Tamandua tetradactyla: one gene and its partner. The protein of the gene in region 1 interacts with the protein of each later gene in a biochemical or structural test. Links are inferred from orthologs where the notes say so. Each region holds a gene or a part of one and is shown on either strand. Other genes may lie near its edges. The genes, in order: CDH1 and CTNND1.

Evidence for each region.
Region 2: the proteins of CDH1 (region 1) and CTNND1 form a complex in vitro, tested with the Homo sapiens proteins (5 studies listed by BioGRID and IntAct, with this or other methods). The link is inferred for Tamandua tetradactyla from reciprocal best matches to the Homo sapiens genes CDH1 and CTNND1.

What each region holds. Positions count from the first base shown.
Region 1 is NC_135342.1:62,712,213-62,727,027, reverse strand, and holds the start of CDH1 (cadherin-1), read right to left. Parts: upstream 8,545-14,815; 5' UTR 8,417-8,544; coding exon 8,369-8,416; intron 7,937-8,368; exon of another isoform or gene 7,767-7,936; coding exon of another isoform or gene 7,725-7,766; intron 7,485-7,724; coding exon 7,370-7,484; intron 1-7,369.
Region 2 is NC_135335.1:19,840,190-19,855,004, reverse strand, and holds the start of CTNND1 (catenin delta-1), read left to right. Parts: upstream 1-7,008; 5' UTR 7,009-7,685; coding exon of another isoform or gene 7,686-7,730; intron 7,731-12,035; exon of another isoform or gene 12,036-12,282; intron 12,283-14,815. Other genes in the region: BTBD18 (BTB/POZ domain-containing protein 18), read right to left, coding at 5,064-5,187. UniProt on the Homo sapiens protein: Key regulator of cell-cell adhesion that associates with and regulates the cell adhesion properties of both C-, E- and N-cadherins, being critical for their surface stability.

The DNA of each region.
Region 1 (14,815 bases):
ACATACAAACAGCTCTCCTAATTACAAAACCAGCTAATTATTATCTAGGCCTTGCCCAATTATCCCACAGAGTCCTGTGCTGGCCGTTTATGATCTTGCTCACAGGTAACAGTTCAATCCTTTCAGGGAGGCCCCATTGGGTCCCAGTAGTAATATCTGATCTCACAATGATAGATGTGGGTAAGTTCTCCCCCTTTTAGGAGACAGGTCTCCAACCAGATCTCCACTAGGCTCAAGCACTTTGAGTCAGTCCTAGTTGGAACATGAGTTTGCATAAGACAGTTAACCCCCTAATTTTGAATGCTAATTTAGATTTTCAGGGTTCTAGAAAGTTAAAAGAAAAGCCACGTATATGGAAGTGAAGGTCAAGAAGTGAAAAGGCTGAAAATCTCCCATAAGCAATTGTTTTTTCAAAGGTAAAAAGAGGCAGAATTCTAGCATCATAGCTAAAATTAGGAAGATGCCAAGGGAAGGAGGGAATTGTTTCTCTTTGAGGTGTCTCAGGTTTCACTGGGGATGCTGAGTTTGACCACAAGGCCGGAGAGGGGAGTGGATAAGGGCACAGGTTTTGGGACACAGAAGTTCTGGGCTGTAGCCCCCAGCTCTGCCAGTTCCTGGTAGGGTGTCCAACCTCTCTAGGCCTCAGTTTCCTCTTACAGAGTGCTGGCTAATGACCTTGGACCATGTGACAATGAACTGAACTGTCAAGTCTGCAAAGTCCTTGGGCGGGCTTACTAGGTACAAATATCTGAATTTTTATTTGTCAGTCACCTTCAAATAAATGCTCTTGGCATAACCCTTCTATCATTTTCATCCTCCAGTCTGTGGGATATATGAAAAAAGTCTGATAGGCTGACATAAAAGTGAAGGAAAAAGATCCTGGTCCTATTTAAACTCACATTTAAACTGGTGCCTTAATGCACGTCCAAGCTCTAGACCTGAAATTCCCAAATGGCTCTGAGAACTCCATCTGAGTCTTTTAGACATTCAACTCAACACATCTCTAACCAGGAACTCATTTTCCTCCCACAACTTGCTCTACTTCCTCCTCTATTCCCAGTGTTGGGGCAAAGGAACATTCTAGAAACTACTGAAATAACTTTTGCCTTAGAACCACCTAGGTGCTGAAAACCTTCAAATTATCTCCAAATCAAAATTGTTTGTCTTCAGAGACACAGGCACATAACACCTCTCCCAATCTCGTTTAAAACGTCCACTGGAACAGTGGGAAATTGGCTGTCTCAGGATGCCAGTGGGGTAAAAATTAATACAGTCCTCGTAGAGGGCAATTTGGCAATATCTGGCAAAATTACAAATGCAGATATCTGACCCAGCAGGCCCACCTGTGCAACTCATCGTCTAAATATACCAGAACAGGTGCAAAAGGATATAGGTACTAGTTTATTCCCCACACCCAGGGTCCATCCACTGGGGACTAGCAGATATGCTACATCCATACCACACAGCTATAAAAACAAAAGAAATGTGGACGTTCTTTTTGTACCAATATAGAGAGAATGTTCAGATAGATTGTTGGAAGTAAAGCAAGGAACAGAACAGTGTTACCGTATGCTATCCTTTTATGTATATGCACCATATATTATTAAATTTACCTAAAGAAATAAGGCTATTTTTGTGTCTCTATAAGGATACAGAAGAGACTAATAAAAATTAGTTACCTGTGAAGAAATAGCTACCTGTGCCCTGGGGAAGAACTGAGTGAAGAATGTACAAGGGTGGGAAGAAAACTTTCATTGTATTCCCTAACACACACACGTATTTGTATATATGCAAAAATGTACATAAAAAAAAAACAGGGATGCCAAGATTTGCCTACTAAAAGAACAGAAAGAGAAAACTCTCCATTACTGTTATTGGACCAAAGAACAAACACCAAGACCTAAGGCCCTGAGGTAGCCTGGCTCAAGCTGGCTGCTCCTTGCACCCTGGAACATTTTCCCACCCTAGCAGCATTCTCAGACTGTGCTGATATTCTCCACTTAGGGGGGGGTCTCTCAGAAATTTTCTGGAATCCATTTGAGGGCAAGGGCTGGGCCTTAATCAAGTTGGCACCCCCAACACTGGGCGCACATAAGGGAAAGTTCTGTGCACTTGCTGATTCTCTGGGGTCCCCTGCTGCTCCCACTCCTGCCCACTCCCCTTCGCACCCACAGAGCTCTCGCTCACTGGCTGGCAAGACCGAGTGAGGCCCAGCCTTATCCCTTCCTGATTGAGGGTACCTTTTGATCTGTGGCCTCCAGGCTGGTCACTGGATAGCCCACACCCTGGCTGGCACCAGATATTTACTCATCTGGTGTAAATACAACCCATGGGCTTGTCCAGGGCAATGAATCAATGGGGTGGCAGCAGACACCTAGGGAGCTTTTAAAAATGCTGTCTAGAATCCCACCCCTTGTTAAGAGACCCTAGCTCAGTGGATTTACAACAGAAAATGTATTTGAAGTGATGTAATGTGCTCAGCCATGTGGGTGAACCATGGTCTCAGGGGGTGGGACACAGCACTTTTGGCATCTGAAGAACAGAGGTATCTTCAGGTATCTGTATTATGAAATACTTTTTTTTAAAAAAGGGGGGGGGCATCCTGCTTTCCCACCCCCAGCTGCTGCTGGCCTTACTCTTCCGGCATCAATTCTAAATGATATTCCTGAGCAGGTTCCCCTTTTCTTACCCCCCAAGGGGAACCTCCTTCAGCCCACCCCAAGCCAACTGCTTAGTGACAAGCAAGAAAACACCACAGAATTTCCTTTCCTAACAAAAAGCACTCTGGTGGAGTCACTGTTTGCAGAGCAGAGTTTGCTTAACACAGAAGCAGAGAGTGTGAGGAAACTGGTTTGGCTGGTTTGCCGTGTGGGAGGGAGCACAGGGAAACATCTGAACCAAAGGTAAAACACCGGGAGAGTCTCAAAAAAGAAACTTCCAAGTCCTCTAGTGTGGGGGTGGGGGTCTCATAACTATGGGAGCTCATATTTAATATTCATTAAGCACCTGACACATATCCTATGAAATAAGTACTATTATGTTCACTTTACAGATGGGGAAGCCAAGGCTTGATTAGCAAGGGATGTTACCTGGATTTAAATATAGGCAATTTGACAGAAGAACCTTCTAAATCTGGGGGGCGATGCCACCAGGGTCTTGGGTAGAAGTGGGGATTGGAGATAAACAAGAGAGAGGGAAAGAGAAAAGAAAAAGTGCGGAAAGCTCTTCCAGTAGTAATAAGCATAAGCTGGGTTTATAAAGGAGGAGTTTAAAATTTTAAAAAGGCGGGAGGTGGGGGGGAAGAAAGAAAAAAAGAAAAGGCGCCACCACAAGACTAAAACTGAAAAACACTTAAAAATTACTAACAGCCCCTTTCCTCCATTTCGATTCAGGTTTGAACATTCAGTATACAGTATTCCCAGGATACTTAGTGCTGCGAGCTTGGCTGTAAGAGCAACTGGGCACAGACCAAACTCTTTGCTGCGCATACAGTCAACCTCAAGGGCTGGCCCCAGGCCAGAGTGTTTGAGAGCAAAAAATAAAGCCAAGGTCTGAGGGGTAGTGACTATTCATCCATCCGTTCATTTCTTCAAAATGAGTGCCTACTATAACCCTAAAAATTATTAGCCACCATTTAATGACTTTTCATCTTTATACATTTCTGTTCTGTCATTATTTCCTTCATTCATTACTGTATCCCAGGGTCTAGCCAGCACTGGTACAAAATAGACATTCATATTTGTTGAATAAATGAATGAACATGCATATCTGATTAGACATTCATATTTGTTGAATAAATGAATGAACATGCATATCTGATTCTCATAGCAAGCTCATAAATATTATTATTCCCCCATTTTATGGATGGGGAAACTAAGGCTCAGAGAAATAAAGTGACTTATTCAAGGTCATGTATTTTGTAGCACAAAGTCAAGTCTGAATCTTTCACAGACTTTATTATTCAATGAACTATACTAAGCAAGCCTACTGATCCCATTCCGACTCCCTGGAAAGCCTAATGTCCTGAGAGATGGGGGTTAAGGCAGAACAGAAACCCAGAAAGGTCGAGTCTGAATTGTGACAGCTGCCTCTTGGGGATTTTAGGCTTTTGGCAGCTTCTGGGAGATGGGAGAGCCGATTACTTCAGCGTCTGCCTTATCTGGGGCTCCGCTTGGAAGAGAGAGTGTAACAGACACCAAGGTGAGCCTTTCCTTCCTAAAGGCTCACCCAATGAAAAGCCCTGGAGAGGAGACAGGGAGTTCCACAGCCACCTGGCAAAGAAAGGTGGGCAGGTCCAGCAGTCCCCAAGGGGAAGGAGCTGCATCCAGCTTTCCTTAAATGGCTGCGGGGGCCCAGGACCAGGACTTTTCCCGCCTCCGCTCTTGGTGAGACACAAAGGCAGGGGCAGAAAGGCAGCCAATGAGTCTTTCCTAGTAAGGGCTGCATCCACCCCTGGCACAGACCTGAGTAATTGGGGAAGTGATGCTTAAGAATCTGAAGGGTGGGGAAACATCTGATGATGTAAGGCGATCCCCAAACAGGTTTTTTGTATTTGTTTTTTAAGCCCAGTTTAATTAGAGGCCCTGGATACTGCTTCTGCCACCCTTTCATCACATCTTTTAGAAAGGAGGGGAAATGGGTGTATTTAATCTACACATGTGGGTGCCTGTGAGTTAGTTAGTTACTTATCAAGCAGCTGAAGCTCAAACCCAAAACACAGGCCCTGTTTGTCCAAGGCCAGACTGTAGGGGAAGCAAAGCAAGGAAAGGATTGGATCAAAAGCCTGCCTGCTTTTCTTGTGTCCAGTTCCCAATACTCCCCACCTCTACCCCCACTCAACTTAAAGCTGTATTCACTAGGCTAATACTGCTAAAATTTCAAACTGTCTTAACAGACTGCGTTTCTCAAACCAAAGTCCTAAAGAAAAGGAAAACACTAATCACAAGCTCTGAATAACTCATTTGGTTTGTTGTTTTTTTTTTTTTTTTTTTAATGTTCTTCATTCTAGAACCTGGAGAGAAACCAATGGAATAAATAGGCTGAGATGGTGAGATCAGCCATTCCCTAGGGCACAGGAGTGACCCCAGCAAAACGCCCTGAGGACCCCTGAATTGGGTCAAAACCGATGCTCTACAGTCACCCAAGGAGGAAAAAAATGAAAGGTTCCATATTCTCCAGCTCCCATGCAGCAAATTCTCCCCAAAGCCAATGTTAAAACCTGGTGCTAATCTCTTAGACCTCCATTATCCTGGACTGTCCAGTGAGAGCAAGACCACCTTCCCAAACCCTGGCTGCCTTGTTAAATCACAAAGCTAGTCCCTAAGGTCAACTGTGTCGTTTTCCAAAAGACACTTCCATCCTTCATTGATTCAATAAGGAGACCCTATGGTGCAAACAGGCCAAACAAAAAGTTAAATCAGGAGATCTGTCGAGTAGGGGTGGGGTCTGTGGCTATAAAGGGAAGAGGAACAAATCACACAAAAAGCCTGTGAAGGACTGGCTGAAGCTGCCTCTCCCGCAAAAGCCACCAGCCACAGCCCTGCCCTCTGCCTCCCACCTGGTCTGATCCATCTCTACCACCACCATCTCCTCTAAGGGGTCCCACCCAGGTCCCACCCGTCGGCACCTCTGTTCTCCAGGGCACAGATAGTCTTCTTCACAGGATTTCCCCAAACAGCTTCCTTTGTTTGAAATGACTGAAGAGAAAAAGGACAGGAGAAAGCCCAACTGTGGTTCCATGAGCAGATTACTGAATGTCTGAGCTCCCTCAGATGGCTGTTGTGAAGACTAAATGAGGTAAAATGTAAAGCACTTGCCCCAGAGTGTAGTTCAAAAGTGAAAACCAGGAGCTGCTACTAACAACAATGATAATAATTATTAACATGTAATGCTATTATTGGCCAGAAACTATGAGTTTGGGAGGTAGAAACTATGAGTTGGGTAGTAACAGAACAACCCACCCTTGAAGCTACCAAGTGTGCTCAATTGTCTTGGTACAGGAAAACAGACCACCAACAGTGTCCATCCACAGTTCATCCCCCCCCAAACACACCTGCCCCACTCTTCAAGCCTGGGCAAAGTCTGCCTCCTCCCAGAAGCACGTCTTCATTGTCCATTGACTCCACCAAAATACTCCAGGCTGCCCACACCCTTTGGCACCTAACTTCCCATGTCCCAGTGTCCTAAGGAGGCCTTAGGACATTCTCAGGAACCTGCTACAATATGAAATACTGAGACCAAGGCTCGAGTGTCCCCATTCCTGCCTCTTTTCTATCCACTCCCTGGTGCCCAGCACAGGCAAGAACTGAGAAATTGGTCAAGCCGCCGCAATATCAGTGAGACAACATTTTCTTTCTGACCCAAAAAGAAGCTCCACACAACAAAGCTGGGGTTCGGTAAATATGTTTAATCAATTGAGCCTCAGTTTCTCTGGGGGAAAATGCCACCCGCTGTGGGACAACTTCCAAAGGTCCAAAAAAAAAAATTAAGATTGCTGAATCACAGATGTTCTAAGAAATGATCATGATGATGAATAAGCAACTGTGATGATATTGTGAATTACTGATTATATATGTAGAATGGAATGAGCATATGTCAAGAATGTTTGTGTTTCTTTCTTGTAATTTTTTTTAATTAATAAAAAAATTTTTAAAAAGTTAAAAAAAAAAAGATTGCTGCATCATATTTTTCACTTGGTCAAGGACTGGAAGAATAAACACAGTGGATGCCTGAGGGGAAATGTGGTGGCTCCTCTTTCTAAAAGGCTTTTCTTTACTGTTATGATACTCCCACAGTTAACTAAGATCATGAGGGAGGAGAAAGACGTTTGATAAGAAATAAGCACCTAGGAATCAGTGAAACTAGAAAAGAAACCAATCCTTCCCTGGCTCCCACCCCTGGGCAAGGGTGAATTGGAACAAAGCAAACTCTAGAAACCAGGCTATCACAGTGATAAGGTCTAGAAGGGCATTGGGCGTTTGTGTGTATTTTCATCCTGAGTCACAGCCACCGAACTTTTTTTTCAAAAACCATTATTCCTTGAGGTACCTGCATGGAAATGATTTCATCTCTATGAGCAAAAGCCACAGCCCCAGTAACCAAGTGAGGGTTCCTCGGTCATCCCAGAGATGGAGCAGAACTATGTCTGGGAGTCAGAGCCCAGTTTTGCTGACCGTGAGCCAGTGGACTCTCCCCTCCAAGCCTTGATCTGCTCGGAATACCCCCCACCTCCCAGCGGGCTTTTCCCTCCCGAAATGACAGGCCATCTCTAAAGTTGTCAGGACAGTATGAGACACATATTGAAGACCTCTAATAAGTGCCCCCCACCCCCCCAACCGCAGAGGTCAATCACGGTAATGCGCGTCCCCACCTCTGCCCAGGACGCGGCCTCTCTCCAGGTGCCGCCGGGGCACCGGGAACGTGTAGCTCTCCGCACCAAAGCCAGGACGGCAGGGCTCCGGCTCCTCGCAGAGCCTCGATGAGACCTGGGGGAGGGGAGGAGAGGTGTAGGACCGGGGTTACTTGGAGGGGGTCCCCTCCTGCCCCCACCGAAACCCACAGCGCCGCCCCTCCCTCGCTCGAGGCGTCGGGATTGTGCAAGGACACCTCCAACCCCACCCCCACCCCACCCCCGGCAGCGGCGTCATCCTCTCGCTCCCCGAAACCTGCAGCGGCCAAGTCTCCGGGAACTCGAGAAAAGGGGGAGAAGGGGCGCGCTGGGTCACCTCCTCACGACCTAGTCCCCTCTTTCTTCCGGTCTCTTTCATGCTTTTTCATTTCACCGGAGGCGTCTTGACTCTTCCCGACACCACTTTCCTTATACCGGGAAACGCCGCCAATCCAAAGTCCAGGTTCTCACACAGGAGGCGCCCCAAGCCTTCTTGACCCCACTATCCTTATCCCAGGGCGCCCCACTCCTAATGGGCTCCCCTTTCTTCACCCGGGAGGTGCCTTTATTTCTCTGAACCTCCCTTTCCTTACCTCGGCGATTCGCCTCACTACTCCTGGCTTCTCTTTTACTCGCACCGGGGCTCCCCCTTTTCGGCATCCCGAGCCCCACCATGCTCCATGCTCCAACTGCCTGCCCCAAGCCCATACCTACTCCCGGCCCTGGAGCGCGGGCAGCTCGGGGCGCCCCCCGCCGCGGATAAATGCGGGAGGAGGCGGGCAAAGCCTCCCTCACCCTCACGCACTCCCTCCTCCGCCGAGTCCAGAGCGCCGAGCAGCTTCCAGGCCGTTCTGCTGCAGGGGACCCAAACTTTCTCGGAAAAGGGGGAAGTCGATGACAGGAGAGAGGAGGGGACGCGGGGCCTGGGAGCGGGTCGGGGGACTGGAAGGTGTCCCCTCACAGCGAGGGGAACCGACGTACCTGAAGCAGCAGCAGGAGCGCGAAAAGGCTGCAGCGCGGAGCGCCCATGGTGGGCCGGGCGGGTGCCGAGCGGGGTCAGGTGGAGTCGGGCTGGGCCGGGCTGGGCCGGGCTGGAGTCTAACAGTACTTATCAGGCTCACAGGTAGTCCGCGGCTCGGGACGCCACTGAGGCCGACAGCGCTGCCGCCGCCAGGTGAGCCCCGAGGCCTCCGCCCCTGGCGCCGCTGATTGGCTGAAGACGCACCTGCCTCGGCTGCAGCCAATGAGCGGCGCGGCGCGGGCTACAGCTTCCACAGGCGGGCAGGGGGCGGGCAGCCCGCCCACAGTCCCGCCACCGCCCCGCCCCTCGGCCCCGCGCTGACAGGGTCACCAGTCGCTGTGAGGTTGGAGGTTGGAGGGTCAGCAGGGACTCGGGGCTGCACGGCTCTGATTCCTAGAGAGTTCGAATCCCAGTCCCGCCGTGGGTGACTGGAGTTTGAAAAGACCTTGCCTCTTATTTAGTACTGTTTTGTTACCTGCAGGTCTCTATCGGTTAATGAGTTACCAAATGGATTCATTAGGTCAGGAACGCTTCTCCCAGCCTCAGTTTCTCCACCTTCCAAATGAGAATAATGGTCACCAAAGTCCCCCCCTAGGTTGTTGCGAGTTTCCCATGCAATTAATAAGGCCACTGTTTCCTGTAAGATAAAAGCCATGCATGGCTGTGAGAGATAATAATAGTACTAGGCATTGAACGGACTGTGCTAAGCATTTGACTGAAGTTGACCATCTCATTTGATCCCTTCTCAAAGCACCCCAAGGACAGTGTCACTGTTCCCATTTGATAGATGGGGCAACTGAGGTATAAAGAGGTTAAGGAGGCCAGTAAGAGAAGGCAGAGGACCAGAACCCACCTTCAGGGCCCTTGCATTGAACTATTATGCTTTCCCTCTTGGGAAGCCAGGCAGTCTTCCAGCTGGAGCTGCAGTTTTCAAACCATCCTTTAATGTTGACCTGGAGGAGATCCCTTTAGAGATCACCCAAACCTGTTATTTGCAAGTAACTTCCCTAACATCATGTTAAAGCTGAGACTAAAACCCAAGATCTCATTTCCAGACTGTGGCTCTTAACAGAAACCACAGCCACCACCACCTTCTCTTGAAAATTCTGTTCCCAGACAATTTTAGGATTGCAAAAAGAATAGACAGGATTAACGTTAGGTCGGACAACTTCCCTTTTCTGTGGCCATGGTTTGGCTACTTGGGAAGAGCACCTCCTTTCCCTCCATCCTGCAAGCTTGGGTCAGAACTACAAAACAGTATGTTCACTGCGCCCTAGCCATGTGACCTTGGGCAAGTCATTGTGTTCACCTGTATAAACGTATTGAAATGAACAGCTAAATCACTAAACTGAGTACTTGGCACATACATAGTAGTAACTGCTCAATATGTGGTTGGTGTAGAGGTTGTTCTCTTGAAAAGCCTACCCACCTCTTTCCCTTCCTCCTTGGGAAAGCCATGCTTGGAATTCTTCACCTAAAGCTACAGCTCCTCTACCCCACAGTCCCCTCAGTTTTAATGGGTTTCTGAGCACACACCCAGGCCATTTGGATTGCTGCATCTTGGCTCTCTCTGCCTCTCAACCCACCAGGAGGCTCGGAGCAAAAAGGCTCCAGTATTTCCTTTCCCACCGAGGCTCCTGCCCGGATTGTGCATTAAACAAGATAATGGAAATACAGAAAGAGGCGTTTCCCCCATGGGGCAGCCTTGTCAGTTTATTTTTTTCTCCCAGTTATGTAAAAATGCATATTTTATACCATCGCTCGGCCCGGGGAGCCTTTAGGGCTTTGCTCTCTTCCACCCAGCAAGCCCTGGCCTTGTAGTTCCGTGGCAGTGCTCATCGACTCTTCCATTACACACTGATAATTCAATAAAAAGGATCTTAGAAAACAATTAGGGGCAGCGAGGACAGGTTGGGCCTGATGCTCTCATCAGACTTCTTGGCAAGTCTGAATCCTTCTCCAAGATCCCAAGGGTGGGTCGTGAAGAGCCGTCCCCCATCAGCTGTCCAGGGTGAGGAGGGAACGTGCGGGGTTCCCTGTGTGGATGGCAAGGTGTGACTTTGGGCAACACTGTGAATTGCCTCCATTTCCTCTTTAATCAAACAAGGACATTAATAGCTAGTTGTAAGGATCAGATGAGCGGGTTTAGAGAGCCGGCAAGCCATGCTGTGGGCGGCCTTTGCTCTCAGTTTGACTGAGAGTTCAAATTCCAGCTCTGCGACTAGCTGGGTTGGATAAGTCACTTTATCTCTCCAAGTCTGGATTTCCTCATCCATAAAAATGTTGATATCACTTAATTCACAAGGTTATTGACATCACACAATTCGCAAGGTGATTCTAAGTGCTCTGTTAGTTAGCTATGCGCACTCTTTGCCTGACACATTCCTATCCCAGCTGAAGGTAAAATTGGGAGCCTCTTCATCCTCAAACTCTGCTTCCTCCAACCCCCAGTATATTAAAGGCTCCTAGGATCTATCTCCCATTTGCTAGGAAAACCTCTTTCCACTGGATGGCTAGCCATTTTGTCCCTCCCATGCTCATTTACATTTTAAAGAGGACTCTGGGGAATGACCTTGCTTGTTTCAAAGGAATGAAAGTTCTAGATCTGGTAAATTCTATGCAGGGTTTAGCCTGGTGTTAATCCATGGTTTCTGGTGGGGAGGGGGTAGCCAGAGGAGGGGGTAACGTGTGTATGTGTGCCATGAAAGCCTTGAGATTGTATGCGAACCTGTCAGTGCAGGTGGCACTGCCTATTGCTTTCATTACCTTCTCAATTGGAGGCAGATCAAATTGCAATCCAGGGGTTGAGATCCCTGAGGGCCCGTTTAGTACTAAAGGTGAAATTCCTGGCATGGACTGGGAAAAGAAATGTTGACGAGAGTCCTGGTCGGTGCTCTCTAGATCACTCCAGGTAGGTGACACCAGCCACTGCAAAGCGAGCATGCACCATGGAATGACAAGCCTTCTCCTTCCTAGTTGGGCATACCGCTTGGCTGGACTTTCATTTCCTGGGTTTGGGGAGACTGGTCTGTTCATTCGAGGAAGGAAAGCTAATGATTAATTCCCCAGGCGGAACTGTCCCTTTCATCTCAGTGCTGCCGGGCCGGGCCGGCGAAGGGACCGTAAATACGGAGCTTAGGTTGGGAGAGAAGCGCCTCTCCGGGCCTCGGCTGAGAGCAGCCGCACCCCAGCCCGCTGCGGACGGAGGATTGCACCCAGGCCACGGGGGCTCCCGACCTCACCGGTAGAGGAGGCTCCGTTTTAAAAGCTCCAGGAGGTTCCTGCCGTCTCTGCCGGGCCGGGCTGCCGGCCAAGCACGCGGGGGAGGGAACTGGACACCCCACTTCAGCTTTCTGTGAAAATGGTGGTAACCGATAGGGGTACCGCCCTTTGCAGCCGGCCATTCACTTCCGCACAAAACATTTTTATTTCAAACACAAAAGTAAAGAAAATAATCTCTACTTTGTACCGTGTGATGAATGCCTCCATCATCCAGCTTCAACCAGGATCTTTTGTGGTTTTGTTTTTTTTTTATAGTTTTGTGATTTGTTAACTTTCGGATTGTACCGTGTCTTGTTTCATCTCTCCTCCTTTTTAATATTTATTTTTGTAGGATTTTGTAGTGCAAACCCCAGTTAACATGCCATTTCCCCTGTGACTATTTCACTATGCATCTATAATTGAGGAAGAAGTTTCTTTCCACATAACCATCATGCTGTTAGGTAATAGCACCTAATAAAATTAACAATAATTCTTCAACAGTGTCTAATGGCTAGGCCATATTTTTAAAACGCCTTTTAAAATATTTATTTTTTTCTTTTTACAACTTATTTTAATCAGGATCCAAAATATAGCCACACATTGCATTTGGCAGTTTTGTGTCCTAAGTCTCTCTTTACCTGTAACAGTCTTCCCATCCTTTTTAGTGCAGCTTTATTGAGGTATAATTGTTTATATTTAACGGTACCATTTGATGAGTTTCGACATATACATATGCTGTGAGACCATCAGCACCGTAAAGATATTTAACATACCCATGTTTTAAAAAGCTTTTGTTTAGACATCATTCCAAATTTTATTTGGACATCATACTTTTTCAATAGCATTAATTTTTCTTTTAAGAAACCTGGCCACTTGTCCCATAGAATGTCCTGCATTTGCATTTAGAATGCATCCTCACAGTGTCATTTAACATGTTCCTCTATCTGTATGTCCCATATTTCAGTAAACTGTTACTCAGCTTTAGAGGCTTGATTTAATGTAGATTCAATTTCCAGGCAAAATATTTCATAAGTTTGTGGGTGTTTCCCATGGCATCGTATCAGGACACACACAATTGTCTGGTCGACTCACTTTCAGGATGCTGGGAATCAGCTGACACCATTATCAATTTCCCCATCATCCTTTCACCTCCTGGCTTTAGCACCATGCATGATGACCGCTCAAATCCATTATCTCATTTAGGCAAATAAACATTTATCAAGTACCCCCATGCACCAGGCACTGTATTTGAAACTGGGAACATAGAAATAAAATATGGTCCCTGCCCTCAGAAAGTACATAAGGTAGTGGGGGGTGCAGACCAATAAACATTCATCCATTTATTTATTAAATATTTATTGAATGCCTACTGTGTGCCAGGTATTGTACTAAATGCCAATAATTGCATTAAATTGTATGATAGAATCGCTACCATTTATTGTAACTCAAACCTTACTTTATATGCATTATTTCATCAATGCTCCTATGGCTCTTTGAGTGCTGTCACTAGATCCTTTTTTCAAATTTGGAAGCAGAGGCTGAGAGATAAAGAAATTTGCCCAGTTTACAGAGTAAAAATGACAGAGCTGGAATTTGGAAGCCAGGCCCACTGGCCTCCAAATCCTCTTCATCTCCATGTTTAACTGCTAAAGGTCAGGACATGCATGTCTTTATTTCTTCCTCATGCATGTCTTTATTTTATTACCTATCTAGCCATACACTAGATAAAGGGGATATTAGTCACGAGGTTTATACAATCACACAGTGTTTCAGTTTGCTAAAACTGCAAGAATGTGATGTACCGGAAATGGATCGGCTTTTTCAAAGGGGATTTATTACGTTACAATTTACAGTTCTAAGGCCATGAAAATGCCCAAATTAAGACATTAACAAGAGGATACCGTCACTCAAGACAGGCTGATCATGTCCAGGGTTTCTCTGTCACATGGCAAGGCACATGGCAATGTCTGCTGTCCTTCTCCCCCCGGCTTTTGATTTCAAATGGCTCTCTCAGCTCCTGTGGGTCTTTCTGGCTTTCCCTGGCAAGTGTTCCTTCAGTATCTTCAAATGTCTGTGTCTAGGGATCTGCTCTCAGTATCAGCTCTCCAGGTATCTTTGGCTCTTAGCTCTCCATGTTCACAGAGATTTTTTATTGTGGTAACATGCATACAACATAGAAGCTCCCATATTAATCACATTCAAGTATACAACTCAGTGGATTAATTGCATTCACACTGTTGTGCCACCTTTACCACTATCCCTTGCCAAAACTTTTCCATCATTCCAAATAAAAACTCTTTATTCATTAATCATCACCTCCCCCTTCCCGATCCCCTCGGCTCTTGGTTACCTACGATCTACATTCTGTCTATGAATTTGCATATTCTAAATATTTCAAATAAATGGAATCATACAATATATGTCCTTTTGTGTCTGTCTCATTTCACTCAATATGATGTTTTTAAGGTTGCATGCGACACTTAACTTGAACTAATTCAAACAATAAGGCCCATTTGTTGCCTCATGTAACTGAAAAGTCCAAAGTAGGTCCTAGCTTCAGCAACATTTTGATCAAGGTTCAAGCTGCTTTTCTCTGTGGTTTCATTCTGTTTGACCTGCCCAAATCTCTGTGTTGGTCTTCATTCTCAGGCTGACTTCCAAACAAGAGATATTATTCATGTCATCAGTAAAAATCCTGAGATCCATTCTGATAGGACTAGGCTAGGTCACAAACCTAACCCCAAATAATTATTTTGTGATCAGGCTGTTGGAATTGGCTTTTCCTAGGTCACTTGCTCTACCTTTAGTGCTATGCTAGAGCTAGCTTCCGTAGAAGGGAAAGGAATGGATGCTAGGGTTGGGGAGGTGAACAAGCAATAAGGAACCCGATGTAACACCCCAGTAAAAGGCAGTATGAGATTTGAATTGAAGTCTACCTGTTTCCCAAAGTCATAGTCATTTGACTAGAATTCCTCTCATTAATCATTAAGAAATGGTTTCTATTATCTACTGCTGCAATATAAACCATCCCCAAACTTGGTGGCTTAAAACAATAACAAATTATGATTTCTCACTTTTCTGCAGTCTGAGCCGTGCTCAGCTGGGTGGTTATTCTGTTCCACCTGGTACTGGCTGGGGCTGGAAAT
Region 2 (14,815 bases), on another chromosome or scaffold:
GCATACATCCCTTGGGTTAGTCTATTTTTTGACATAACATCCGTTCCTTAAATGCCTTCTGTTTCAGACAGCAGTAGGGAGACCATATAATAATTGTATGGTATCTGTTTCAGAATACTTTTTTCATTTTTATAAGTAAGTTGATATTAAACTTTTATCAGTTAAACTGTTGGCACTCCATTTTTTCTTTTCTTCTTAAAGGAAAATGTACCTCACCTTTTTTACAGTATGAAACATTACACTAAAAATGCTATTCTTTTCTGTTTATACGTAAATGGAAATTACATTATTTCCATTTTGGCATGTACCTGCAAATATCAGAGAAGAAGAAAAGGTAATATAATTTTAGGTTTATCAAATATGATGTGTATTCAAATAATACTTGACCAGCTTATCTGAATTGTATATATATTTGAATCAGCATATGAATTTGATTTTAATTGCAGTGTTCTCAAGTATGGGATAATTAGATATTTTGCAATTGTAACTAACCATGATCATAGTTTCTTGTAATTTCTTGTACATGTACTTGTTCGTAATAGATTTTACTTTTGGAAACATGACTTTACCTTGTTGAAATCAGTTGGGTTTTGTTGTTTGTTTGCCTGTTTCATTTTGTAATTGATTTTAGTTTTGCAGAAGAATGCTGTCATAGTTTAGTATGTTTTTTTCATAAATGCCAGCATAGGCAAAGAATGAAAGCTTTCGACCATTTTTGTCCTTCATAGGAAGACATGCTGGGAGGAAAATGTTAGCATTTTATTATAAAGTAGTTAATGTAAACAGTTCAAGACTTGACTTTGATTTGGAAATCCACACTGACCTAGGAGTAAGCTTAAGGATTGTATAAGCTATTAAAGCTGTGGTCTTTCCATATGGAGGTTGAAGGTAAATATTTTTGTCCTGAGTTTTATTTGTTGATTTTCTCTGTTACATGTTGTATGAGGTTGAACAGACTGGGTATGGGCTGCAATGCAAGCTGTCTTATATACAGCTCTGGCAGTTAAATTGTACTTTTTGTTGTGGGGTGTACATTTGTTCTATCAGGTTCTGTGATTGTGCACTTGCTCTGGTGCCTCTGAAAGGCCACTGTTACAAAGGCTACATGTTATCCCACTCAATGTGCATTCTGTCAGATGCTGCTAAAGAGACCTGAGTCCATGCCTGATACTCCCCTCCACTCCCCCTTTTTTCCCCATGTCTTATTGCAAATCAGTTTGATATAATACAGAAAACAATATTTAAACATCCATGTTAAGACCCATACTTGTAAAATTTGGCCCCCTGCCACCAGCCCATTTTTACTTTGTGAGTTCAAAGTAATCTACTGCATTGTTACTTAAAAAATAAAGTGCATTTTTGGAAAGAATGAGTTTAAGAAAGGAGTAAAATTACTCCCACTTTTAAATTAAGTCATTCATTTTTAAATTTGTAATTCAATACAGTTTCTTGTTGTTTTAAAAAAAAGTTAGCTGAGAGAGCTTAAATAGAGTCAAGAGGCTATTCTGGAGCCTACTCTTATATAAGCTTCGGCTAGATATTGCTATTTACTATGGTTTGCAAACCTCAACCAAAACCATTCATGCCAATCCTAAAAGAACGCCTAGGGCTCTGAGACTCTATAAAAATTCCATGCACTATGATTACTTTCTACTAATCTACAACCTCAAGAGGGGTTCCTAGGCCAGATAAATCCTGAAACCCAGAGGGGTCAGCCTCTCTGGAACATCAATTAGCTCCATCCCCATCCCATATTATCAACTGCCCTTTCCAACATGAAAAAGTTAGAATGGGCATAGTCTAAAAACCCCTAAAGACTGGGAAAAAGATCAAAGGAGAAGGAGAAGTTAGAGAAAATAGGAGTTAACAAATAAGTATGACTGCTGAATCATTATATTGATACTCCTTTTAGTCTCCATTGTCAACAGCTAGAAGGAAAAACCTAAAATTGTCAAACTGTAACCCATACCAACTCTGAAATCTGTTCTATAACTGCTTGTTATAATGTACTTTGAAATTTATTGCTTTTTTGTATATGTTAAATTTAACAATTAAAAAAGAGAATTAAATGAGATACTATACCATATGTACTCTGTAAACTGTAGAGCGCTACACAATGCTGATTGCCATAATCTTATTATAAATAAAGAAACTGAGTCCCAGATGAAGTTACTTGCCCGCTTGTCACTTACTGAATAACAAAACTAAATAATTAAACTCAACTTGAGCCTTGTACATTATACTGGGTTCCACCTCATCTGATTAAATATTTCAAGTATTTAGAGAAGAGGTGGAAATAAGCTATAAATTTTTTAGTTCTAACAACAACAAAAATCACTGATTTGAAGGCAAGAAAAAAATTAAATTAAGCAACAGCTTAGTGAGAAAATGGAAAATATATAATAGTTTCATCTAACAATTAAACCATGTTTAGCACATTCAAAAAGCCCTGTTTTAAGTGCTTTATATATGTTAACTCTTAATCTTCACAACCATCACTTTAGGATATTACTATCCACGTTTTATAGAATTTCTCGCTTACGAAACTCTATAATTAGTTTTGTTTTACAAGGCTGAAAAGTACAGTCACAATTTCTCTCTTGAAAACAGTAACTGTCCTAAAAACAGTTCTTTACTAAGTAGCTTATAGTGCTCAAAGATGGTAATAACTATGGTAGCAACTAAAAGAATAAAATATCTAGGAATAAAGTTAAACAAGGATGTAAAGGACTTGTATTCAGAAAGCTACAAATTATTACTGAAGGAAATTAAAGAAGACCTAAGTAAATGAAAGATATAGTGACAGAAGACTTAATAGGTTAAGATGCTAAAAACACCCAAAGTGATCTACAGATTTAATGCAATGCCTGTCAAAATTCCAAAGGCCTTCTTCACAGAAATTGACAAGCTAATAGTCAAATTTATACAGAAGGGAAAGGGACCTGAAGAGTAAAAAACATCCCGAAAAAGAAGAACAAAGTTGAAGGACTCATACTTTCCAATTTCAAATTTATTACAAAGCTAGAGTAACCCAAACTGTGTGGTACTGGCATGAGGACAAACATAAAGACCAATGGAAAATAAGTGAGAGTTCAGAAATAAACCCACACATCTATGGCAAATTTGTTCAAGGCAGACAAGGTTACTCAATGGGGAATGAAAAATTTCTCCAAAATGGTGCTGGGGAAACTGGATATCCATGTGCAAAAGAATGAAAGTGGACTTCTACCTCACACAACATACAAAAATTAATTCAACAAGGATCAAAGATCTAAATATATGAGTTAAAAACTATAAAATTCTTAGACAAAAACACAGGGAAAGATCTTCAAAACCTTGTCTTAGGCAATAAATTCTTAGACTTTACATGGAAAGCAAAAGCAACATCAAAAAAATGTTTTTAAAACATTAAAATTAAAAACTTTTTGTGCATTAAAGGACATTATCAAGAGAGTGAAAGGACATCATCAAAAAAGTGAAATGACAACCAACAGAATGGGAGAAACTATTTGGAAACCAGAAATCTCATCAGGGTTTGATATCCAGAATATATAAAGAACTCCTACAATTCAAGAAAGACAAACATTTAAAAATGGGTAAAGTACATGAATAGACATTTCTCCAAAGAAGATATACAAATGGTTAATTAGCACATGAAAAGAGGCTGAACATGATTAGCCATTAGGGAAATAGAGTGAGATGCCATTTCATACCTACTAGAATGGCTGTTATTAAAAATACTGAAAGTAAGTGCTGGTGAGGATGTGGAGAAATAGAAACCTTAGTACACTGTTGGTAGGAATGTAAAATGGTGTAGTTGCTGTGGAAAATAATGTGGTGGTTCCTCAAAAAGTTAAATACAGAACGACTCTGTGACCCCAGCAATCACACTTCTAGATGTATACCTAAAAGTATTGAAAACAGGGGCTTGAACAGATATTTAAACACTGATATTGACAGCAGCAATATTCACAATAGCCAAAAGATAGAATCAACCCAAACGTCCATTAGCAGATGAATGAACAAAACGTGGTATAGGCTATTAGCCTTAAAAAAGGAAGGGCGTTCTGATATATGCTACTATATGGATGAACCTTGAAGACATCATGCTGAGTGAAATAAATCGGACACAAAGGAAGAGATATTGTATGTAACCACTTAAATGAAAGAGCAAAAATATGCAAAATCATAGAGACAGAAAGTAGACTATAGGTTATGGTGGGGGTGAGAGAATGGGGAGTTAAGGCATAATAGGTACAGGATTTCTTTAGGGTAATGGGAAAGTTATGGTAATGGTTGGTGGTGAGGGTAGTGCAACCTTGCGAATGTGATTAATCCCACTGAATGATATGCTTGGGAGCTGTTGATATGAGAAAGTTCATGTTATATTTGTTTCCGTAAGAGAGAGAGAGACTAAAGAGACAATGGCAATTAAATTCAATACATGCTCCTGAACTGGATCTAATAATGGAGGAGAAAAGGCCCAAAAGGACATTATTGGGACAAAGAAAAAAACTGGAATATACACTGTAAACTTTATATCAATGTTAAATTTCTTGAACTTGTTAACTTCAGGTGGTTGGTAATATCCTCGTTCTTAGAAAATGACATGAAGTATTATGTATTTAAGGAGAATGATGTATACAACCCTCTTTCAAATGTTTAGAAAATAAAATATATAGATATAGATATATAGATAGCTAAATAGATTGATGGAGAGATGGACTGACAGCCACTGTGGCAAAATGTTAAAACTGGTGGTTCTTGGTATTCTGGATGGGATATGTTGGAGTTCTCCGTATGGCTTTTTTTTTTTTTTAAACATGGGTAGGCACCTGGAACTGAACTGGGTCTCCGGCATGGCAGGCAAGCTCTGTCACTGAGCCACTGTTGCCTACCCTCTCTGTATTACTTTGGAACTGTCCTGTTAGGTTTGAAATTATTTCAAAATAAAAATTTAAGAAAAAAAAATCTGGTAATAACATGTTTTCCCTCTCATCCCCTAGTCCTAAACTCATTTAACCTTATTTAAGTTTCCAATTGAGTCCCCACCAGTCTCTTACCTTCTGCCTGCAGAAGGACATCACAGAACACACCACTCTGTTGCTGGTGATGAAGCTGCAGAAAAGCTAGTCGGAGGAACCGTGGGTTCCTGTATAGGATTTTGGGACTGGCAGGAGAATACATGTTTGTAGTCTCTTAACAAACCTTCTATGTTTTCACAGATAAGATTCCTGTGGTGAGATAATATATTTTAGAGGCATGTTTATACCTTTTGTCTTTGAAATGGCAGGGAAATACAGAAAGTGAGAGATAACATGAGTGAGTGAAAAAATCCCAGAAGTTGTGCCAATGATATCTTAAGAAGGCAGAATATCATCATAATGGTTACATATAGGAGCTCAGAGATAAGCTTAGGTTTGAATCTTGGCTCTGTTATTTACTAGGCTAGCTGTACAATCCCAGGCAAATAGCCTAACTTCTCAGAGTTTCACTTTTCTCATCTATAAAATAAGAATAAGAGTACTTATGTCATAGGGCTGTTTTAAAGGTTAAATGAGCCAATGCATGTAAAATTGCTTAGCACAGTACATGCCGGGCACATGACTATTACCCAAGAAAGGTAACTTTTATTATCATTATTATTATTATCTTTTAACCTTCCTCATTCATATTACCATTGGAAATCAACCCTACTCATATTCTTCTGGAGCACAATAGTTCCATGGGTATAATCTTTAGATGAACCACTTCTGAAGAAACAGTATTGGGTATAAAATTATTTCTAGGGAGTCACACATCTTCTTGTCTCTAATCACGTTAACCAGCAGAGGGTGCACAGAAAAGAAGAGAAGCCTTGCTGGACGTGGTGGAAGGTCTCCCACAGAAATAAGAACACTGGCTACTCTTGGCTCAGAGGTTCCTGAACACAGTGAACCCAAATGACACTGGAAACTGGCAAATAATTTGGCCTTAAGGTTCCTTAGTGGTGAATTAACTATCCTGGGGCAAGGATAGTTAAGCTTCCTATCCCTCCCCAAACAAACTGCAAATCCTGACTTCAGGATTCCTACTTTTCCAGCTGGTTGCACTGAAATTCCCACACTCACTGCACAGCTGTGTCCCTTTACTGGCATGCAGTTTTCTGTCAGGTGGCACCGAGGGTTCTAATGCTTCAGGTCAGAACTGTCAGGAAAGAAAAGAGTGGACAGGAAAGGATAGGGCAACTCGGATCAGAGCCAACTGATCAGAGCCAACTGGATCAAAGCCAACTGATCTGGCAGCTATCCCAAGGACCCAAACCTAGGCCCTGGGGAAGCTTTCCAGCCCACGGACAAACGGCTTTGTCCCCAGGCCTAACCTGGAATCGATCTGCAGTAGGAGTTACTCTTGCCGTTTTCTCTGTGCTTGGGTCCTCTGTCCAGCCTGCCCTGCTGCCTCCCAAAGTCCAGCCTCTCCGCAGAAAGGTTTAGCAAAGCATCACAGGTAGGCCGACGGCCGGGGCAGTGCCCCTCCACCTCCAGAACCAAGGGAATCGGGGTTGCCGGCACGGGGCTTCAGGAAAGGCCCTGCAAAGCTGGGCGCCCCGCACGCCCCGGGCCCAACTCCTTTGAAGACAGACCTCTCGGCGCGCGAAGGTTTCTGGGAATGGAGCGTGGGTGATCCTGGGGGCCGGGATTCAGGGCTCGCCCTCACTGCCACCTCGAGGCCACATGGGGTTTGCAGTCACTCCCTGGTGCGTTCGTACGGCCACGGGCCACGGTGCCCACATGCACCGGGCAGCGGTGACAGCTAGCGCCCGAGGCCACGCGGCGAGACCACGAGTCACGCGCCGCGCCTACCTCGCGTGAGGAGCGTCGCGGGGGACGACGTCCTCGCCCCCCCCAAGCCGGCCTACGTCTGCCTGAGTACGTCCTCCCCATTGGCTGGAGGTTCCACGGAGAGCCAATCACAGGAGGAGGAGAGCTTTGGGCGGGAGGCTAACTCTCGAGGGACTTGAGGGCTGAGGAGAGACGTATGGCCAGGGCCAGCTCGGGAGGAACCCTCAGGGAAGCCGTCGTGTTCTCTGAGTTCGAGGAGGACACCCAGGAAAGAGGGTCACAGGCCCCGAGGCGGTTGAAGGACAGCTCCCTCTTCCCCCTGGAAGAGGCTGCTATAAGGGCTGCGGGCTTCATGGAGGAAAAAGTCTTTGGTGGTCTCTCTCTCACACATCGGCCCGCATCCCTCTAGCTCAGACATTCCTTTCCCAAGGCCAGGAATGTTCTGGAACAAGGTCATTGGGCTAGTTTTGAATTCGAGTGTTTCACTGAATCTACTCCCAGCCCCGGCCCCCGGAGAACTGGTGACCAAGAGGATTGCCCGAAATTCCCTTCAGGCGTGGTTCCTCCAGAGGTGATTTGTGTAGCGCAGTGTCTGTCTGGGAATAGGTGTTTTCAGGACTGGTCCTCAAAAGGAAATGATCTCAGGATTAAGCATTTGCACGGAATGACAGGCTGCGTGCGAAAGCTCCTGGCCAGCGGTTTCCTTGTGTGAGTGAAGCTCGGGATCCTGGTCTGGGGTATCGTCCCTCGGTGCATGTCCCGTGGCGTCCAGCCCTAGATGCACATGGCCGAGTCCAAAACCCCTGGTGACAAAGCGTGGTGAGTTGCGACCGAGCAGCCGCCACCGAGGCCCAGGAAAGGAAGATGTCCAAGAGAAGGGGAACCTGGAAAAGCACAGACCAGAGAGAGGTGAGTAGTGAAGTGTGCTCAAGTAGATCTTAAGTGGATCGATATCGAATCCCTTTTGAAAAAGGATTGGGGGTGGCACACTGACATATGGGAGGGCTGAGGCGGTGGGAAGGGATATTTCTAAGTCAAGTGGTTGGTATTTTTCCCTAGTTTGAGGCTTCTGCTCTTAGGGTGGAAAAAGAAAGGAGGAACAGAAGACATTGTCGGTTGCAGTTTGGTGAGGAAGCAGTTTGTGAAAGGACATAAAACTTAGCGGAATTTAGCAGTTGTCAGCAGCACACACCCCCAAAAGAAAGGCAGAAGAACAATGCTTGTTTTTGGCCTCTGTTGCTGTCAGAATCAAAACTTGATTAGGCTGGCAGAGGATCAGTATATGTGATTCTGTGGAAGTTGTAAAGAAAATATAAATATTACATCCCCTTATGGGTATATTTCCATCACTATTAAATTAATTTTCAAGAAGTCGGGAGGAATCAGTTTTTGTTTTTATTTTGAATCTAACATCATTTTAGTGAAATCTTGTGTTGGTGGAATTTCTAAAGGGAATGATAAATGCCAGTCCTACCCAGGGCTTCCAAAATGACAAACTTTTACACATTACACATAGTAATGTGTAGCTACCAGAGGGTAGAGAGGAGTAAAACTATTTTGTTTTCCTTTACGGGGATAGCCAGTGATTTTTTGAAGTTGAATTATTTTTATCTCCACTCCTTGGCCTTTCTAGTTTTAGTTTATTTTAGAAGATACAGCACAGCACCTTGCCCTGTGTAATAACCTTAATATTCCTTTTTTTTTTTTACATGGGCAGGCACCGGGAATCGAACCCCGGTCCTTTGGCATAGCAGGCAAGCATTCTTGCCTGCTGAGCCACTGTGGCTCACCCTAATATTTCTTTTTTAAACACCTTTTTCCCACTCTCTCAGTTCTCCCCTAATTTTTCACCATCTTATGGTATCTTGTGTTTCTGTGTATGTATGTATGTAGTGATGGTGGTGCGTGGGGGAGTTAAGCTTTGAGAGTTGCAAAACCAAGCTTTGGCTGAAATATTTCGTGCATTAAAAACAAAAAACAAAACAAGAAACAGAGACAGAAAAGGAGAAAAGAAGCATCTCAAACAAAAACAGCCCTGTGTCTCTAAAACATATATCCTCAACCCATTAACTTCTCTCCTTTTTTTTTTACTTCTATCACCATAGTCCAAGACCCCAACACTGCAGTTTGACCCCTACAACAGCCTTTGTCTGCTTGCTTTTCACTGTTTGCCCACTCTTTAATCTGTTTGTCACATAAGCAGCCAGATCTTTTCAAAACGTGAGTTAGATCATGTAATTATTCTGTTTAACCCCACAGGTTTTCCTCTATTTAAGAATAAAATCCAAATTATTTACTCTGACCTATAGAACCCTTCATACTCTGATCCTCATCAATTTCTCCATCCTTGTTTCTGACAAGTTCTGCCCAACGCAGTATTTTCAGCCCCACACCTCAGGGCTTTGGCATTTGCAGTTACCATTGCTCATATCCTCTCATGGTCGGCCTCTTATCATTCAGATTTCAGTTTAAAAGTCACCTCTTCAGAGGGTTTGTCCTTCACATCCTATCTAGAGTAAGCCTCAAGGGAGTCTCATCAATCTGTTTTAAATCTCCGCATAGCATTCCATCTGACATTATCTTACTTATTTATTAATCTTCTCTCCCCATCCTAGAATGTAAGCTTTATAAGAGCAGGAAACATGTCTATCTTATTATCCTTGACATCTACACCAGGACCTGACTCACTGTGGGTAATCAAAATAATCAGATGAAACTAGTCTTTTTGTTTTCTATTAACTGAGTGTAAACAGTTTTTCCCTCAGCCAGTGAAAATTAATGCTTGTGATGCCCTAATTTGAGATAGCTGTTTCAGAGAAAATTAAAGTTTAACGTCTTTTTCACTGTTAAATTATCTGTCTTGATTTGTATATCGTTCTATTTTGAATGTTATCCACAAATTTATTAATGTTTAATGACTTGTCCAGGACTACACAGCTAGGAAGCACAGAGACTTAAGCGATTCATTCAGCTGCTGCTAAGTAGGAGGTAGAAGGCTGAGCTCTGGAGGTCTACAGTGACCAAGGAAGATACTGGCCATGTCTTCGTGGAGTTTAACTTCTGGTATGAGAGGCAGGAAAACATACAGGCACAGATGAAAGAAAAAGGAAGGCAACATACTTAAAAGTGAAGGAAATAAGACTAATCCATCCATTTCTTGAAAATCCTAGAATATTCTAGAATATGACTCTGATCTAGAAACCAGTGAATCAACAAACATTATTTGTGCTGATTGTTTCCTTTGACAGTCATCTTTGGCTTTTGGACTTGCTGTAGAGGACCAGGAGTAAATGGAGAGTGGAGGAAGAAGATGTGATAAAGCAGTGAGAAAAAAATCTTAGAGACTTAAAGGCTGTTTATTTCTTACTCTCGTTTGTTTAAAGCCACCAGACAAGTGCTCTTCCAGCACCTCTGAGAGATGTCCTTTTTGACCACTGTAAACCAAATATGAGAGTCTGTGAGACTCGAGGTCAAATCTGCGGAGGTGGATAATGACTAGATGAACCTGATTTGAAAAGTACTCCTGATTTGAGGAGTGGAATTCCAGTTTGGATATATAACGAAAGGTCAGAAGTAATGTATTTAACATATTGAGTAAAAGTGGTATCTACCTTGAAAGCAGATAAAGATTTTGGCCTTATTCTGACTGAGAACGGTATAATGTGATAGACAGAGGATGGGTTTTGGAGTTAGACTGATGAAAGACTCACTTCTTAGATAATCTTAGGCAAGCTGCTAACCTTGCTAAGTCTTGATTTCTTCATGTATAAAATGGTGGTAATAGTATCTGCATTGTCGTATTTAAGAGGTTAGAGATGAGTGCGAAGTGTCTCTAATATGATAGGATGGTTGCTACTTCTGGGCAGTGTTGAGCCATTGAATGCTTTTGAACAGAATGGTTACTGATAATAATAATAATTCATTCTTACTGTGTTTATACTATATGCCATACATTTGTTTTAAGAACTTTATGCATATTGGTTTACAGTTACTATCCTCATTTTATAGTTAAGGAAAACATGGCTCAGAGAGATTATATATAACTTTCCAAAGGTGCATGATGGTCCACTGGAGTAAGTGTACTTACAGAGCTGGGCTTTGAAGTCAGGCAGCCTGACTGCAAGCCTGTGCTATTAACCACTATTCCAGTTATGAAAACTTGGTGAAGATTCACTTGGCAGAGTTTACAGGATAGATTTTAGATTTTTCAGTAAGAAAGAAAAAGGAAATCTTTAATTTATCATTATTATCTTTGTTTAAAAATCACGGAAAGACCATAAAATACTAATCTTTGTCAAACATATAAAAAATCCAGCCCATCTCCTTCATAACAAAGAAAATATTAAGGGTATCTCTGAACCCAGGAAAAAGTACCCCTACATTCATTTATTCAGGTTAAGTGTAAAAAGAGAAAGAATGTATGAACTATATCAACTTCAGCTTGGAGTTCACAAGGAAATGAAATTTTCTTAGGGCGAGCCTTACTTTTCTTTACACAAACTGTTAACTCCTCTAAATATATTGTGTGTTTATTGCTTTCCATTTTCTCTACCCCTCAAATCCACATTATTTTGATTTGGGATTAAATGGGAAGGCAGTGATTTTCCTCAACAGCTCAGTGGATTCAGTTCTTCTCAAATTGAAACTATAGAGACTAAAAACTGTTAATAAATCGAGACGTTTATTTTTTTCTCATTAGTTCTAATGCAATTAAACCAAGAAAATGAAATTAAGTTTACCTCACAAAATCTGCACCCATCCCTAATCTCAGTGAACAAATAGTAGTCATTTCCAGAATTTCTTTCTCCTTCCTTTGCTGTCTATGAGAAAATGCTTTAGGCTAGAAAGCAACAATCCTCACACTAGCAGGCAAATAAAATAAGCTCTTTTCTGTTTCCCCACCTGGAAAAGAAGGAAGAGGGAGTGAGAACTCCACCATCTAATTGAAGGCTTGAATTCTAAAACACCCTTTTTCCCTCAGCCCCCCTGGGGCTCTGCAGTAATTCCTCGGAGATTGTATGACTCTCCACTTTAAAGATAAATATATATAAAACTTCCCCCTGTCTCTTTTTCTCCTCCTCCTCCTTTCACTCTCTCTTTTTTTTAATTTCCTATATTAAAGTTTCCTATTGGATAAGGGCAGCTCCCTGATTTATGCCTGATTCCTATTGGAAGCTCTCAGGGGCTGACATCACTTAGGAAAGCGAGGGGGTAGGGCTGCCAGATCAGTTTGTCACCACCCAGGCTTCCTTGCCTTTGGCTGGGTGCAACTTCCATTTTAGGTGTTGGATCTCAGAGAAAAAAGAGAGAGGGAGAGAGAGAAAGAAGAGCAAGAAAGGTCCTAAGAGGAGGAAGAGGTGGCGAAAAATCAACTGCTTTGCTGGATTTGTTTTTCTCAGCACATTGGCGAAGCCTTGGGTTTCTTTCTTAAAGGATTGGTTTTTAGAAGTCTGCATTTGAGGTGTGTGCCTTTTTAAAAAATGTGTGTACAGACGGGCAAAGGAGGATAAACCAGTTGAATTTTTTGTCATACGGTAACTAGAGTCTGCTATGCTGACGGGTGACTTTTAAGCAATTATTATTTCTTCTCTCTACTTTCAGTACTTTGGGGGATTTTGGCATTTTATGATATTAAAGAAAAGTAAAATATGCGAGACCTAGAAGCAAACTTCTAGGTCTTCTCAGGGAGATAAATAGATTCAGAGGATTAAGAGCAGCTCTGTAAATTTACATTTTGTGGGTTCACTGATTTTGGATTTTTTTTCTGGATTAAGCTAACATAATTCATTTTTCAGAGCCCAAACCAAAAGTTATTTTTTTGGCATGTTGCGTGTGGGCTGGGAAAGGAATTTGTCCGGGTCGGAAGCTAGTTATACAGATGGTTCTTCATATGTTTCAAAACTTTTTTTTTTCTTTTATTGTTGGATTTGTGGAAATGGAAAGTTGCAGGGAGCTTTGCAGTTTAAATGGTGGTGTTTTTCACCCCCAGCGAGTTTGAACAGCCCAAATCGGTTTCAGCGCTGCTGTTTCTGGGTGGATCCCTCTTTTACTTTTCCAGGTGCGGTAGGTGGGAGCCTCATTCTCCTGTAGCCATAGCTTCCCTGCTTTGCTTTATAAAAGAAAGCAAATGGATCCATGTTAACTGAATTGCCATTCCCTTCTTCCTCCTAAAACTACCTTTGATAGCAAAGATTTGTGGGTGTGTTGTATGTTAAATCTGCCAGTATAATAACGTTTGGTTTATTTGCTTAAAGGGATAAGGAAATTCTAATCATGCTTTTTTAGTGTACCTGAGTTAAATCGCAACACACCTGAAAATATTTTCAGCTTTATGCTTTCCAGAAGGGCAGTGGATTACATAAGGTTAGGTTAGGAGAAACCGCTTACACACTTTAGTGTTTAAAATGTATTTGAGAAAGTTCAAGGGGAATTTTAATTTTTAAACCAAACTGGAAGTTGTTTTTTGGAGGTGAGTTTTCTGTTTGGTTAATTTATCATGAAATCAGAGCTCTGTAAGAGCCAATGACTGCTTCATATCTTATATTTGATCTTAAGATTTGTTTTGTTTTGCTTTTGCAAATACATTTTTGCAAAGATACGAAATCTAGATGGCTATATAACCAACTCATCAGTAGCTGAGAACTGGTTTCCTTCTCCCTTTGAAAATGTTAATCAGTCTGAAATCTATAATTAGGGATAGATACTGCCCTAATTGTAACAAGATGAGCCATAATGTGTAAACTGCTTCTTAGCTTTAAACTGATATGCATCTTCAGTAATCCCGTCATTCCACCCCCTTCCCCCCACTGATTCTTTTTAGACTAGAACACTTCCTTGAATTTCTTTTCTAGAATGAATATTTCTTGAAAGGTGATTGCATCCTTGTGAGGTTGTGACTTCAGGAGGAAATAGAACTTTGTTCCTCTTTTTACTATCCGTGTGAGGGCTACAGTAAATTTTTAATATCTTAATTTTAGGATTATAGCAAGTGCCGTTAAAAAGAAAGAAGACAACGTGCACAGTGTTGGGTTATAGTTCTTGTTTAAGATTTTCCAAAATTTTCAAGTGTTCTCTCTGCCTTATCTCCAGCCTAGGGAGGTTTCTTGGTGGATCTTAAGAAGATTGGTCTTATTGCTACCAGAGTGTCGGTTTCCCACTCAACCTTTAGGGGGAAGGATGAGGGAATCTGAAGGAGTACAAAGGCAATTTGAGAATAGGTTCTGGATGAATGAGTGGTGGTGATTTGGGTCCGACTTTAAATACTGGGCTTTTTGTAGCTGCCCTAAGCTTCCTAGTTAGTGTCCAGGACCATTTTCATGAACCGAAGGCTTCGTTTTGACTAGTGTATGCTATATAGAGCTTTTCGGGTGAAAAAATGGAAGATTTGTCTTTAACCTCACCTCCACTAGTTCTTTCAGGAAATATAGTAAGGGGTGGGCATATGTAAATCTCCTTTTATTTATTTATTTTTAAAGTATTTTGTTTTGCTTCTCATTTTGGTTTTGGGTTAAAAAAGAATGACGAGTATGGGTTGTGTGCGCATTTTCCTTTCTGTGTTCGACTCCTATATACTGTTGGTTTCTTTGTTATGTAAGTGAGGTCTGTATTCCAGGTGGCTTCCCTTTTGAGGGATTAGAGTTCTAGTGCTTTTCTTGGGGTTCCAATTATGGAGAGTTACAAGGGCTAGAACATGTTGTCTCAACTGACATAAAATTGGGACTAGTGAAGATCTTAAAAATATAAAGCTTCAAGTAATTGCTATCCAACCTTCGGTTTATGAGGGCTGCTGTTTAGGAATGGGTGAAATAGGATGGATGCAGATAAATTAAGCATAGATCACTATCAATTGGAAGAACAAAATGATTAGTGCTCTATATTTTATAACTTTCTATTTTGGTGCCTGATGAACTCCTGTTAGTAATTCCACCCACCCAGTACCCACTTTTTAGCCATGTACTAAGCATTTTACATACACTATTTACTTAATTCCTCAC